Linked DNA regions of Drosophila melanogaster. Changing the gene in region 2 together with the main gene of any one other region gives a genetic interaction. Each region holds a gene or a part of one and is shown on either strand. Other genes may lie near its edges.

What was found.
Region 1: of THG (region 2) and Smox, changing one suppresses a phenotype caused by changing the other (phenotypic suppression), as found in Drosophila melanogaster (one study listed by BioGRID).

The regions. Positions count from the first base shown.
Region 1 is NC_004354.4:8,136,434-8,144,326, reverse strand, and holds Smox (smad on X), read left to right. Parts: upstream 1-2,047; 5' UTR 2,048-2,691; intron 2,692-3,409; 5' UTR 3,410-3,644; coding exon 3,645-5,105; 3' UTR 5,106-7,286; downstream 7,287-7,893. Other genes in the region: alpha-PheRS (Phenylalanyl-tRNA synthetase, alpha-subunit), read left to right, coding at 1-328; CG17982 (uncharacterized protein), read left to right, coding at 806-1,711; CG2120 (uncharacterized protein), read right to left, coding at 7,440-7,893.
Region 2 is NT_033779.5:15,007,840-15,011,663, forward strand, and holds THG (tRNA-histidine guanylyltransferase), read right to left. Parts: upstream 1,886-3,824; 5' UTR 1,865-1,885; intron 1,854-1,864; exon of another isoform or gene 1,760-1,853; 5' UTR 1,759-1,759; coding exon 1,611-1,758; intron 1,556-1,610; coding exon 843-1,555; 3' UTR 650-842; downstream 1-649. Other genes in the region: NC2beta (negative cofactor 2beta), read left to right, coding at 79-630; Rnmt (RNA guanine-7 methyltransferase), read left to right, coding at 2,179-3,379, 3,437-3,519. UniProt on the Drosophila melanogaster protein: Adds a GMP to the 5'-end of tRNA(His) after transcription and RNase P cleavage.

The DNA.
Region 1 (7,893 bases), on a different chromosome or scaffold from region 2:
GCTGTACGAGTTCTTCAGAAAGCTGGGCATCACGCAGCTTGAATTCAAGCCGGCGTACAATCCGTACACCGAGCCCAGCATGGAGATCTTCTGCTATCACCCCGGCCTGGCCAAGTGGATCGAGGTGGGCAACTCGGGCGTCTTCCGGCCGGAGATGCTGCTGCCCATGGGACTGCCGGAGAACGTGAATGTAATCGCCTGGGGTCTGTCGCTGGAGCGACCCACCATGATCAAGTACGGCATCAACAACATTCGCGATTTGGTCGGACCCAAAGTGGATCTAAAGATGGTGGAGGAGGGCCCCATCTGCCGGCTGGATCATGCTTAATACCTTAAAAAATCAATAGGACCTGCGATCAAATTGCATTTTTTTTCACACATGAATGTTCCAAAACATATTTATAAATAAAAGTTCCGCCACAGAAACTGGGTCTATATTGATAAGGGAAATATAACATTTGGCGAACCATTTTTGTATTTTCCCTCCAAACAGCTGTTGTTCAGGGTTGTCAAGTGCAGCCGATTTATGCTATCTGCATTTTAGGTTATTGTTTGAGGGAAGCATATCGGGTTTATAAAATTCGGAAAATTTTTAAAGAAACTGCTTAGAGTGAGAATCCTAAAATATGTGAGAATAATAAAAACATGTTTGACAATCAGTCAATCAGTTGAAACTATTTGACAACTTTGCCACAAAACAACGTCAAACGAGCGAAGAAAACAACAAAGGAGAGACGCAAAAAAGAAGAAAGAAAAAAAAAAATAAACAAATTCGTCATCGTCGCTGGAGTTTGGGCCTTGAAAAATGGCAAGCAATCCGAAGAAGTCCCTCCACCAGGCGATCCAGGCCGAGTTTGGTCTCCAGCCCACCAGCGATTTGTCCAAATTGAGCAGTATAAGTGGCACGAGCCCAGAAGCGATGCCAAAATTCACAATTCCGCAGCTCAAAATTCCACAGCTTAGAATTCCACAATTGCAGCTGCAGACGAATGCGGATGCCGCTGCCGAGCAGGAATACCGCCGAGAGGCGGAGGCACACAATCAAATGCTACTCAATGAGATCCAGTTGAGGCAACGGCAGCGATCGGAGGGCGAAAACAAGCCGCAATCAATGGGATTTGTGTTACCCCAACTGGTCGCGATGCCCAAGGAGCCCCTGAACATACCCCTGCTGACAAGGTTGGAGAGCGGCATGAAGAAGCTGGATATAGGCGATGGGACAAAGGTGAATACAGCCACGTCAGCACCCCCACTCATTGACCTCACGTCCACGATTATCGCCAGGCATAAAGGCGCACCGCCCAAGGAGCTGGCCAGCAAGGCGCGCCAGTTGACCAATTGTGAGCCTTTTGCCATACCCTTCATTGCCTGCGATCGCGGAAGAAGGAGCACGACCGGTGTAACTCTCTTGGCCAGCAAAAGATCCATCAACTACGACGAGGACGTGCTGGCCGATCGGTCACCAGCGAATAGCGACTACCGGGAGCAACCGGGACCCATTGGGCTCATGCTGGACGAAATGGTGGGCTATCCGGAGCCGAGAAAGCCCCGTCTAGTGTACGCCGTCACTCCGCTGGAACGGCAGCACCTGCGAATGTGCCAGTATAAGGATTACGGCATCCAGGTGAAGAGATTCCGCTTTGATACTCCCTCGCCGGATGAGCTCGTCAAGCAGGCGCTGCAGAAGTCCTGGCGCTTCTCCCGCACTTGACTCCAGTTCATCCTGGTAGTTGACAATTACCAATAAGTGAATAAAAACAAAAAATCCACTACGTTCAAAAATAAAAGCTGTCTGACTTGATTCTTGCAGGGAGTTGATATCACCCATCGATTTAGTAACTAATTAGTTGGCCATCCAATCCCATTCTTTTGTGGCGCAAATATATTTGCGAACAAGTATATTTATGATTTTAGTATTAAAATATGTAACAATATTTATGTTGTTTATATGAATTTATCAAAACGATCATTAGAATGTTTTCACGCCTTATTTTATTTTGAGCCGTGGCGTCGAAGCTTATTCGCGTTTCAGCCAACGGTCACACTACACAGTCGGTCACACTATTGTTGGGCAGCAAGTCTGGGCACACTGCAACTTTGCGAATAGCAAAATCGCGAAACGCAAAAAATTATATTACTCCCATAAAGCACAATTCGAACGTAAAGTGAACTACTAACGTATAGAAAATAAACACAAAGAGCATAACATAAGAACAAACAACAAGGAGGCGTTTAAATATTTATCAAAATAAGTTCTCTGTTCTTGTTGTGCCTCTGTGTGTTTGTGTCTGTGCGCTCGTTTAACTGTGTGTGTGCTCCTTGCGTGTCGGTGTGCGGTGCCTGTGCTTTGGTGTGCGTGTGCGTATAGCTGTCACTTTCTGGCGCGCACACAAGATATATACACACAGAAATTTGAAGAAGCGGTGCCCACCACACGGCCCCCTCCCCGTTCCAGACAACCATCAACGCCACCAGCACCACCACCACCACCCCCTCCTGTTGGCGCGGCTCGGCTCGGCTCGGCTGGATGTGTGCGCCCGGTTCCGGTGCCTTTTGGTTACCGTTCCCGTGCATCTGGACCTGGAAGCAGTGTGTGCGTGCGAGTGAGCGGGCACGATAGAAGTTGAAAGAGCAGGCGAAAGGAGCAAGAGCAGGACGACAGAGGAGCTCGAGTTGCCGGTACCGTTACAGGTAATATTTATATGTGCGAGACACTCGGCGCAAGTGTGTGTGTGTTAGGTGGGGGTTGAAGATACGGATACAGATACATGGATACATTCCAAAGCGGCTGTATGTGCACTTTTCGCTGTTTCCCCAATGCACATTTAATTACTTATTTATTTTTGCGTTTAACTCGATCGTACCCCTCTTGCCGGCGACGCTCATGTTTTTTGTTGTTGTTATTTTCGGTAATTTATTGCCCCGCCTTCGATAAGATGGAAAATTCCAAACTGCCCACAGATTAGGCGTGTGTACATACATACAGAAATATACACACATTCTGGTTCTGTTTCTGTTTTCTGTGGCTGCTGTAACTCAACGAAAGCAAAAAAAAAGCGTCTGCAAACGCAGACATTTGACCTTGTTGGAGACAATAACAACAAGAATAGCAATAACAACGGTAGTGAAAATAGCAAGAACAGCAACAACCCACGCAGACGATTGCATTTGCGATTGTCGTTTTGGAAATGGAAAATCTAAATTGAATCTTTCTTTAGAAATCTGAATGTGAATCTAAGGCAAAAGTTAATAGATTACCCATATACACACGCTCGGGCAATTATCACAATAACATCGTCATCAGGGTCGAGCTTTTATCAGATCCAGCCGCTCACGCACACACATGCAAGCCAATTATCAGGTTTTAATTGCCAAAGCACGCACAACTAAACCCATTCCACTATTCCAGATCAGAAGTGCACAAGGGAAGCAGCAGCAGCATTAGGACTGTTCCAGTTCCACTTCCCAGTCCCGTTCCAGTATTCCAGAGAAGGTGATCGAAATAAAACTAAAACTAAAACTCGACCAACGCCAGCAGTGAGAGCAGTATTCAAAAGGCAACGCAGAGTTGGAGGAGGAGGAGCTAGTGGACGCGGAGGACACCAGGAAAGCCCAGGAGAACTCCCCCCCCCTGAGACCCTGAGATGTTGCCATTCACCCCGCAGGTGGTCAAGCGTTTGTTAGCACTCAAAAAGGGCAACGAGGACAACAGCGTCGAGGGCAAGTGGTCAGAGAAGGCCGTCAAGAATCTGGTCAAGAAGATCAAGAAGAATTCGCAGCTGGAGGAGCTAGAGCGCGCGATCTCCACACAGAACTGCCAGACGCGGTGCGTGACGGTGCCGCGCAGCAAGCCAGCTCCCGCCGGCGAGCATCTGCGCAAGGGTCTGCCGCACGTCATCTATTGCCGCCTGTGGCGCTGGCCCGATCTCCAGAGTCAGAATGAACTAAAGCCCCTCGATCATTGCGAGTACGCCTTCCATTTGCGCAAGGAGGAGATCTGCATAAATCCGTACCACTACAAAAAAATTGAACTGTCCATCCTGGTGCCCAAATCGCTGCCCACGCCGCCCGACTCCATTGTGGACTATCCGCTGGACAACCATACGCACCAGATACCCAACAACACCGATTACAATGCGGCGATCATTCGCAGCGCCTCGTTGAGTCCGCCGCAGTACATGGAATTGGGCGGTGCCGGGCCCGTTTCCGTATCATCGTCTGCCAGTTCGACGCCAGCGACTGCCGCCGGTGGTGGTGGTGGTCCCTCCTCGTCGTCGTCGTCGTCATCGTCCGCCGCCTCCGCCTATCAACAGCAACAGCAGCAGCTGTCCTTTGGCCAAAACATGGACTCTCAATCGAGTGTGCTTAGTGTGGGCAGCAGCATTCCCAACACCGGCACCCCGCCGCCCGGCTATATGAGCGAGGATGGTGACCCCATCGATCCTAACGACAACATGAACATGTCGCGTCTAACGCCGCCCGCCGATGCAGCGCCGGTGATGTACCACGAGCCGGCCTTTTGGTGTTCCATCTCCTACTATGAGCTAAATACGCGTGTCGGCGAGACGTTCCATGCCTCGCAGCCCTCGATCACGGTGGATGGCTTTACCGATCCCTCCAATTCGGAGCGCTTTTGCCTCGGACTGCTGTCTAATGTGAATCGCAACGAGGTCGTGGAGCAGACACGTCGCCACATCGGCAAGGGCGTACGGCTTTACTATATTGGCGGTGAGGTATTCGCAGAATGTCTGAGCGATTCGTCCATTTTCGTACAGAGCCCAAATTGTAATCAGCGATATGGCTGGCATCCGGCCACCGTATGCAAGATACCGCCCGGTTGCAACCTAAAGATCTTCAACAACCAGGAGTTTGCCGCCCTGCTGTCGCAGTCCGTGTCGCAGGGATTCGAAGCGGTCTACCAATTGACACGCATGTGCACCATCCGCATGTCGTTCGTCAAGGGCTGGGGCGCCGAATATCGCCGCCAGACGGTGACCTCAACGCCCTGCTGGATCGAACTCCATCTGAACGGGCCGCTCCAGTGGCTGGATCGCGTGCTCACACAGATGGGTTCGCCACGGCTGCCGTGCAGCTCCATGTCATAAGCGCACGGCCGGTTCCGGTTTTCAATCTTCCCCCTCCCCCAATTTTCCGCACAGAAAGCGCCGGAGTTTAAGGCCCATTTTTGGGTTTGAAAGAAGATCCACAGAAATCCCAGTAAACGGCTCTGACAAGTAACACTGACGATGAATGGATACTATCCTCAAGAATTTGCGGTAGTCAATATCGTTTATTATCGATTTTTATTCACATTCGAGAGAAATTTCAATGGTTATTAAGATGAAATTGGTATGCAATCAATGTGCTTTTGTTCGGCTTTGTAGTGATGTAGTTTAAATACCCTCTGTCAGGGTATAAAATTTAATTATGTCACTAGCTCTAGAAAAAGTACATTTCACTTGCCGAAAGCTGTACAAATTGATGTTGAAAAAAACTACTTGAATCCTTGATGTAACAAGAACTTCCGCATCATCCAAAAATACTATATACAGCTCTATTCATGTTGAATATGACCCGAGATTCATCAGTGTTACTAGTCAGCAGCTCCGCGGGATATCAAAATGAGAATCGGAATTGGTTTCAAAGAGAAAACCAAGAAAAATTCTGAGAGCACATATGAAATAAGTTCAGGCAAATTATATACGAGTACATAAATGAGTAATTGAAAAACAAATGGTAGATGCAAACCAGATGCAGATATATCTATATACAAAGAGCACACACTTACATGTGGGATATATATCTTTACAAGCATATATGAGAGAGAACATGTATTTGGCGTTACAAGTTTAGGACTATATATTGTGTAGGTGGAAACGTGGAGAGAGTTACAGTTTTCGATAAGAAGCAACAATTTTTTTAAACATTTTACATACAAAAAAAAAAAAAAAAAAAGAAAACCAAAAGCACATGAGGAAATAACCGAAATGGAACCGACCAGGAACACAAAAAAACCAAAAGATACCCCGAATCTGTGTGCGTAAAGTTGGTAGCGCTAGAAGCGAGAGAGTCAAAATTCTTTGAGAAAGAAGCAAAACAATTAAATTGGTGATTTGGAACAAAAATGAATGAGCAAAACAGGAACTGGGATTTATCAAGCTTGAAGCTTACACACACAGACACACTACCATACATTGCAAATGTACATAAGACCAAAATAATGAAATTATTCACGCAGGACCTCCACTTGATCGAGTATGGGATTATAGATATATCCGTTTGAAGATGGTTGTTAAACGTTTCGATTTTCGCTTAGTACGTGTGTGTTAAAAAATTCGTAAACTCTTAAAGCGCAGTCAGCTCTTGTTAGTCGTAATATCCGTAAAATGCGATCATATATCCTATGTGTAAAGCACTTGCCCAACAAAATTTGAATGCCGCAAGCCAGGTCTGGCCCATCTAAGGTGCCATTTTGTTCAGAACTGCATTTATTGTGTACCAAATGAGAGATTCTTGATTCTTTTACAGCATCGTATTTGAAACGATAGCTTAACCAACCAATATGCAATATGGTTTGCCGTTGCTGGCCGGATTTTGCTTGGCAAGTGCACGTTTTTCTTGGGTCTAGATCTTAAGTCTATATATGTAACAAAATTCGCTAGCTTATCTTAACGTTTAAAGAGCCCAAATCCAGTTTAAGTTCAAGTTCAAATTGTTTTTACGTCAATATTTGCTGATTCTTTTAATTCTTTTGTTTTTTTTTGCCCATTGCTTCGCTGTTACGACCAAAAATAACTGTACCGCCTGGCCAGTGTTGGGCAGTGAATGGTGCGTGGCGGGCAGTGTTGCCTAGCGCACTTGTCCTCTGGTTCCGGCGAAACTTTAATTTAAGTTTTGTCTATTGTTTGCCCCCTTTGTTGCTTTTAAGTTTCTCACGTGTGCAGTTTAGTGCTAAGACACTTAGTCCTGATTGTCAATCAATCGAATAAACGACCGCGAACGAGATTGTGTTTTGTTAATTGGCTCTAATCACTGTTTTTAATCAAACAATTGTTTTCGTATTTCCGGCTAAGCCCGCAAATAATGTAATGTAATCCTTAAGTTATGCCTAAACGAAACAAAGCAATGCAGGCGAACATGCAACAGCAACAGTCAACAGTCCTCCGAGGACACAACCACAGAGAACCAGCAACCCCGTACCCGTAACTTTATAAAGTATAAATACAAATATATACATATATCTAATATGCAAGCATGCAGATAAAGACAAACAGAATCGTATATATAAATAAACACTTATATTGAATGGAAAGCGCAGACCAAGCCCCCTTCCGGGGGGCAGCTTAGGGTGGGGCGAGTCTCGGATTCGCCTGGAATTCGATTCGAATGGACAGGGAAATCGTACCGTATACTAACATAATCAAAGTGCTCTCGAGCTGTCAACGCTCGTGCACCTTGAGGTGTTGCTTATGATTGGATTTGCGCAGAAATCGTGCTGGACAGAGTGGACAGGCAAATGGTCGCTGCTGGGTGTGGGCAATCTGGTGGTGCTTCAGCTCCGAGGCACTAAAGAATCTCTTGCCGCACTCCGGCTGTGGGCATGGGAAGTCGCGCTGATTGTAGTGCCGCTTCAGGTGGATGCTAAGATAGCACTGATCCGTTAGGACCCGGCTGCAAACCGGGCAGGTGAAGCTGAGCGCAGATGTATCCCGTTGCTCTTGCTCCGCCAGCGGATGTTCGGGATCCGGATCCGTTTGTGCCGCATGCCTTAGCTTTGTGTGAATGCGCCGCGCGTGGATGGAATGAAAGGAGAGATGACAGTCGGTGGCCAAACATGGATATGGTTTCTCTCCCGTATGCAAGCGTCGATGGACAGTTAGGTAGTTGGCATAC
Region 2 (3,824 bases):
CACACTATACTAGTAAATCCGAGAAAAACATCTGCTTCCAAGTTTGTTTGTTTGTTTGTTCCTTGAAACCAGGACGCCATGTCGAATCCGCAGGAAGAACTACTGCCGCCCAGCGCCGAGGACGACGAGCTGACCCTGCCACGGGCCAGCATCAACAAGATCATCAAGGAGCTGGTGCCCACGGTGCGGGTGGCCAACGAGAGTCGCGAGCTGATACTCAACTGCTGCTCAGAGTTCATTCATCTGATCAGTTCGGAGGCCAACGAGGTGTGCAACATGCGCAACAAGAAGACGATAAACGCAGAGCACGTCCTGGAGGCGTTGGAACGCTTGGGTTTTCACGACTACAAACAAGAGGCGGAGGCCGTTCTGCACGACTGCAAGGAGGTGGCAGCCAAGCGAAGGCGCCAGAGCACGCGCCTAGAGAACCTGGGCATTCCGGAGGAGGAGCTGCTGCGCCAGCAGCAGGAGCTGTTCGCCAAGGCACGCGAGGAGCAGGCGCGCGAGGAGCAGCAGCAGTGGATGAGCATGCAAGCGGCAGCAATGGTGCAGCGACCACCGCTGGCAGACGGCTCCGTTGCCAGCAAGCCAAGTGAGGATGACGATGACGATGACGACGACGACTACTAGTAGGAAATAGTCTTTCTATGAGCTTAGTGTAGATTTAATCTTAAAATATATGCCATAAGTTGAACTTTCAACTATTAGCTACTCTTCATTACGGATCATCCGTTTGTCCTTCACTCCAGCAGCCTGGGCACCGCATCCTCAATCTCCGAAACGACTTCCTTAGATGTATCGTAACTTTAATCTTTAAAAATGCAAGACTATTCGTTATTATATCAGCTGGTACCAGCCAGATTTTGTGGCTCCTCCGCCTCATTGTCATCCTTGCCATTTATTTGCATCTCCACCAATCGGGGAAAAGTTTGTGGTGCGTCGTATGTGCCTGGCACATATTTTCCCAATATTTCGGTGTGTTCCTTCCAGAACTGCGAAGATATCAGATCCTCGTGCAGCGGCACCACGGCCTGCCTGCTCTTCTCACCCAATATCACGCGTTTTCTCAGCAGAATCGTTCCCTTTCTGTACATTGCCGGCAGATTGTTGTAATTTATCCCGAATTCCTGGAAGAGCAGCTCATTTTTGTCCGCCGAAAAGGTGCCACGGAGTTTCGCCTCGGCTTGCTGGTTCGTCAGGCCTTTTTCCAAAACGAGTTTCCAAAAGGCGGTATTGTACAGGTTGTTCACATGCACATCGGCCTGTCGCCAGCTGAGATAGTCCTTTAGATTCTGCTCCGAAGGATACAGAACAACGCGACCATCGAAACACGGAGCATAGGCCAATGGCAGATTCATCCACTTGGACCATTGCATTACATAGCTCGAGGAGAACAAGCTGGTGACGTAGGTGAGCAGTTTGGCGGATCGTCGCTTGAACGCTGCCGTCTCTTTGCGAAAAACAAAGGAGTACTCATCACTTTGACCGTAGGCGAGGACAATATCCCGAAACTCCTGCATCACCGCCGTGGCAGCAGCATTCATCACATTGAGAGCTAAAGCGAATATTTAATGGGATTATTAAGAACTATAATGAGTGTTTTTTCTTACCATTTTCATCGTTGGGCTTTTCAAAATCGTGCGTCTTGGAGAACTTGTGGAACTTTTTGCCGTCTATTCGTATGACTATCCACACATTAGGCAGTATGCTGTCGTCCTGCTCAAAGGATTTAACGTACTCGAATCTGCTGCAGGCCATGCTGCGTTTTGGAAAATTCCGGGCAAGGGAATAATTCAATAATTTAACAAATTTATTCAAAGTTCCAAGCAACCGCATTTAAAAAGTTAAGAAATGCATGAGTTACCAACAGCTGATTGATGTTTTCCATTAACAGCACTGTTAACTAGTGCTTGACTAGTGATGGAACTTTTAAAATCTGTTTAGCTTTAATCTTAAAAGTAGCTAATGAGGATGGTTTAGAGAATATTGGTTTATAAAAAATTAATTAGGAAGAAAAATAAATTTAAATCTAAAATGTATATTTCTTATTCTGAATACTTTCCGCGCGAAATAACATCGAGTGCCGATAGCACTCGTGCACTCATTCCTAACTGACCCGATAACTTCGATAGGCAACGACTGTTGGTCATCCGGCAAAACAGAAAATTAATAGAGACTATGAGTCTTAATTACGAACAAAACGCGGCAGACGAGCAGTTCGCCCGCGCACACAAAGCAGTCAGCCTGTCGGACGACGAGGAGAGCGAGGGCCAAGCGGAGACCACGTCTGCACCAAATCAGGAGCCGCATGTTAGTAAATCACCGAGGGAGTACTACGATGAGCCTGGCGGGAAGGGCAATGGAAGTGGAGCAGATGATCAGGATGAGCCGGAAACGGAGGCTGCCAGCGGAGCGGCCAACACACATGTGGTGGCACACCACTACAACGAGCTGAAGGAGGCGGGCCGCAAGGATCGTCAGAAGTCAAAGATATTCTTCATGAGGAACTTTAACAACTGGATCAAGAGCCAGCTGATCAACGAGTATATGTCGCAGATTAAGCAGAACAAACGCATGGGTGATGCTCTCAGAGTTCTGGACATGTGCTGCGGCAAGGGCGGTGACCTTCTCAAATGGGAGAAGGCTGCCATCTCCCACCTCATCTGCACCGACATCGCTGAGGTGTCGGTGGAGCAGTGCCAGCGGCGATATCAGGACATCCTGCAGCGATCGGAGAAGTCGAAATTTGCGAATAAGTTTACCGCGGAGTTTTTTGCCTGCGACTCCACATTAGTGCGCCTGCGGGAACGGTATAAGGATCCTTCGCTTCAGCTGAATCTCGTGTCCTGTCAGTTTGCCTTTCACTATTGCTTCGAGTCAATGGCGCAGGCAGATTGCATGATGCGGAATGCAGCCGAGTGTCTGAAACCCGGTGGCTTCTTCATAGCCACAATGCCGGATGCCTACGAGATCATCCGCAGGCTAAGGGCAGCCGGTCCAGATGCCCGGCGTTTCGGTAACGATGTGTACAGCATTGAATTTGACTGCGAAACGGATCCTTTGCCGCTTTTCGGAGCCAAGTATCAGTTTCACTTGGAGGGCGTTGTCGATTGCCCCGAGTTCCTAGTGCATTTTCCCACGCTGGTCAAGCTGGGCAGAAAATACGGTCTGCAGCTATTGAAGCGCTCCACATTTGCGGATTACTACAAGGAAAATCTGCACCACGGGCGGCATCTTCTGCAGCGAATGTCCGGCTTGGAGTCGGTGCAGCCACAGCGCTGCGAGAATGATGAAGAGTTCGCCCATGTGAGTAACTTTCAGGGAGCACAGCGAAGCAGGTCGGTGGGAACCCTCTCGAAATCCGAATGGGAAGCAGCAAGTGAGTTTACTCAGCATCGACTTCTGAATTCCATTACTAAATAGCTTCTTATTTCAGCTCTTTATTTGGTTTGTGCCTTTAAGAAATGCAAAAACACCTGGGACACCAATGGCAAACCATTGTTCGAATTTGACGACTGATTATTGCCAAAAACATTCACGTTATAGACTATTATTCTGTACCCGTGGCTTAGCACTTTTAAAGTTTATACTCGAAAGCATGAACAGATTATTAATTTCAGAAAAGATTAGCTCCGTAGGTTACAATTCGTAAAACTAAGGGTATGTTTGTTTGTGTTCATAGGTTTCAATTCAAATTTTATTGTCCAGTCTAGGAGATATTTAACAAATTTACGAGAAAGCCACCAACCATCAAGCTACGAAATTTCAATGTAAATCGAGAATGTCATTTTGCTAATAAAAATTTTTAATTTAGAAAATTTTAT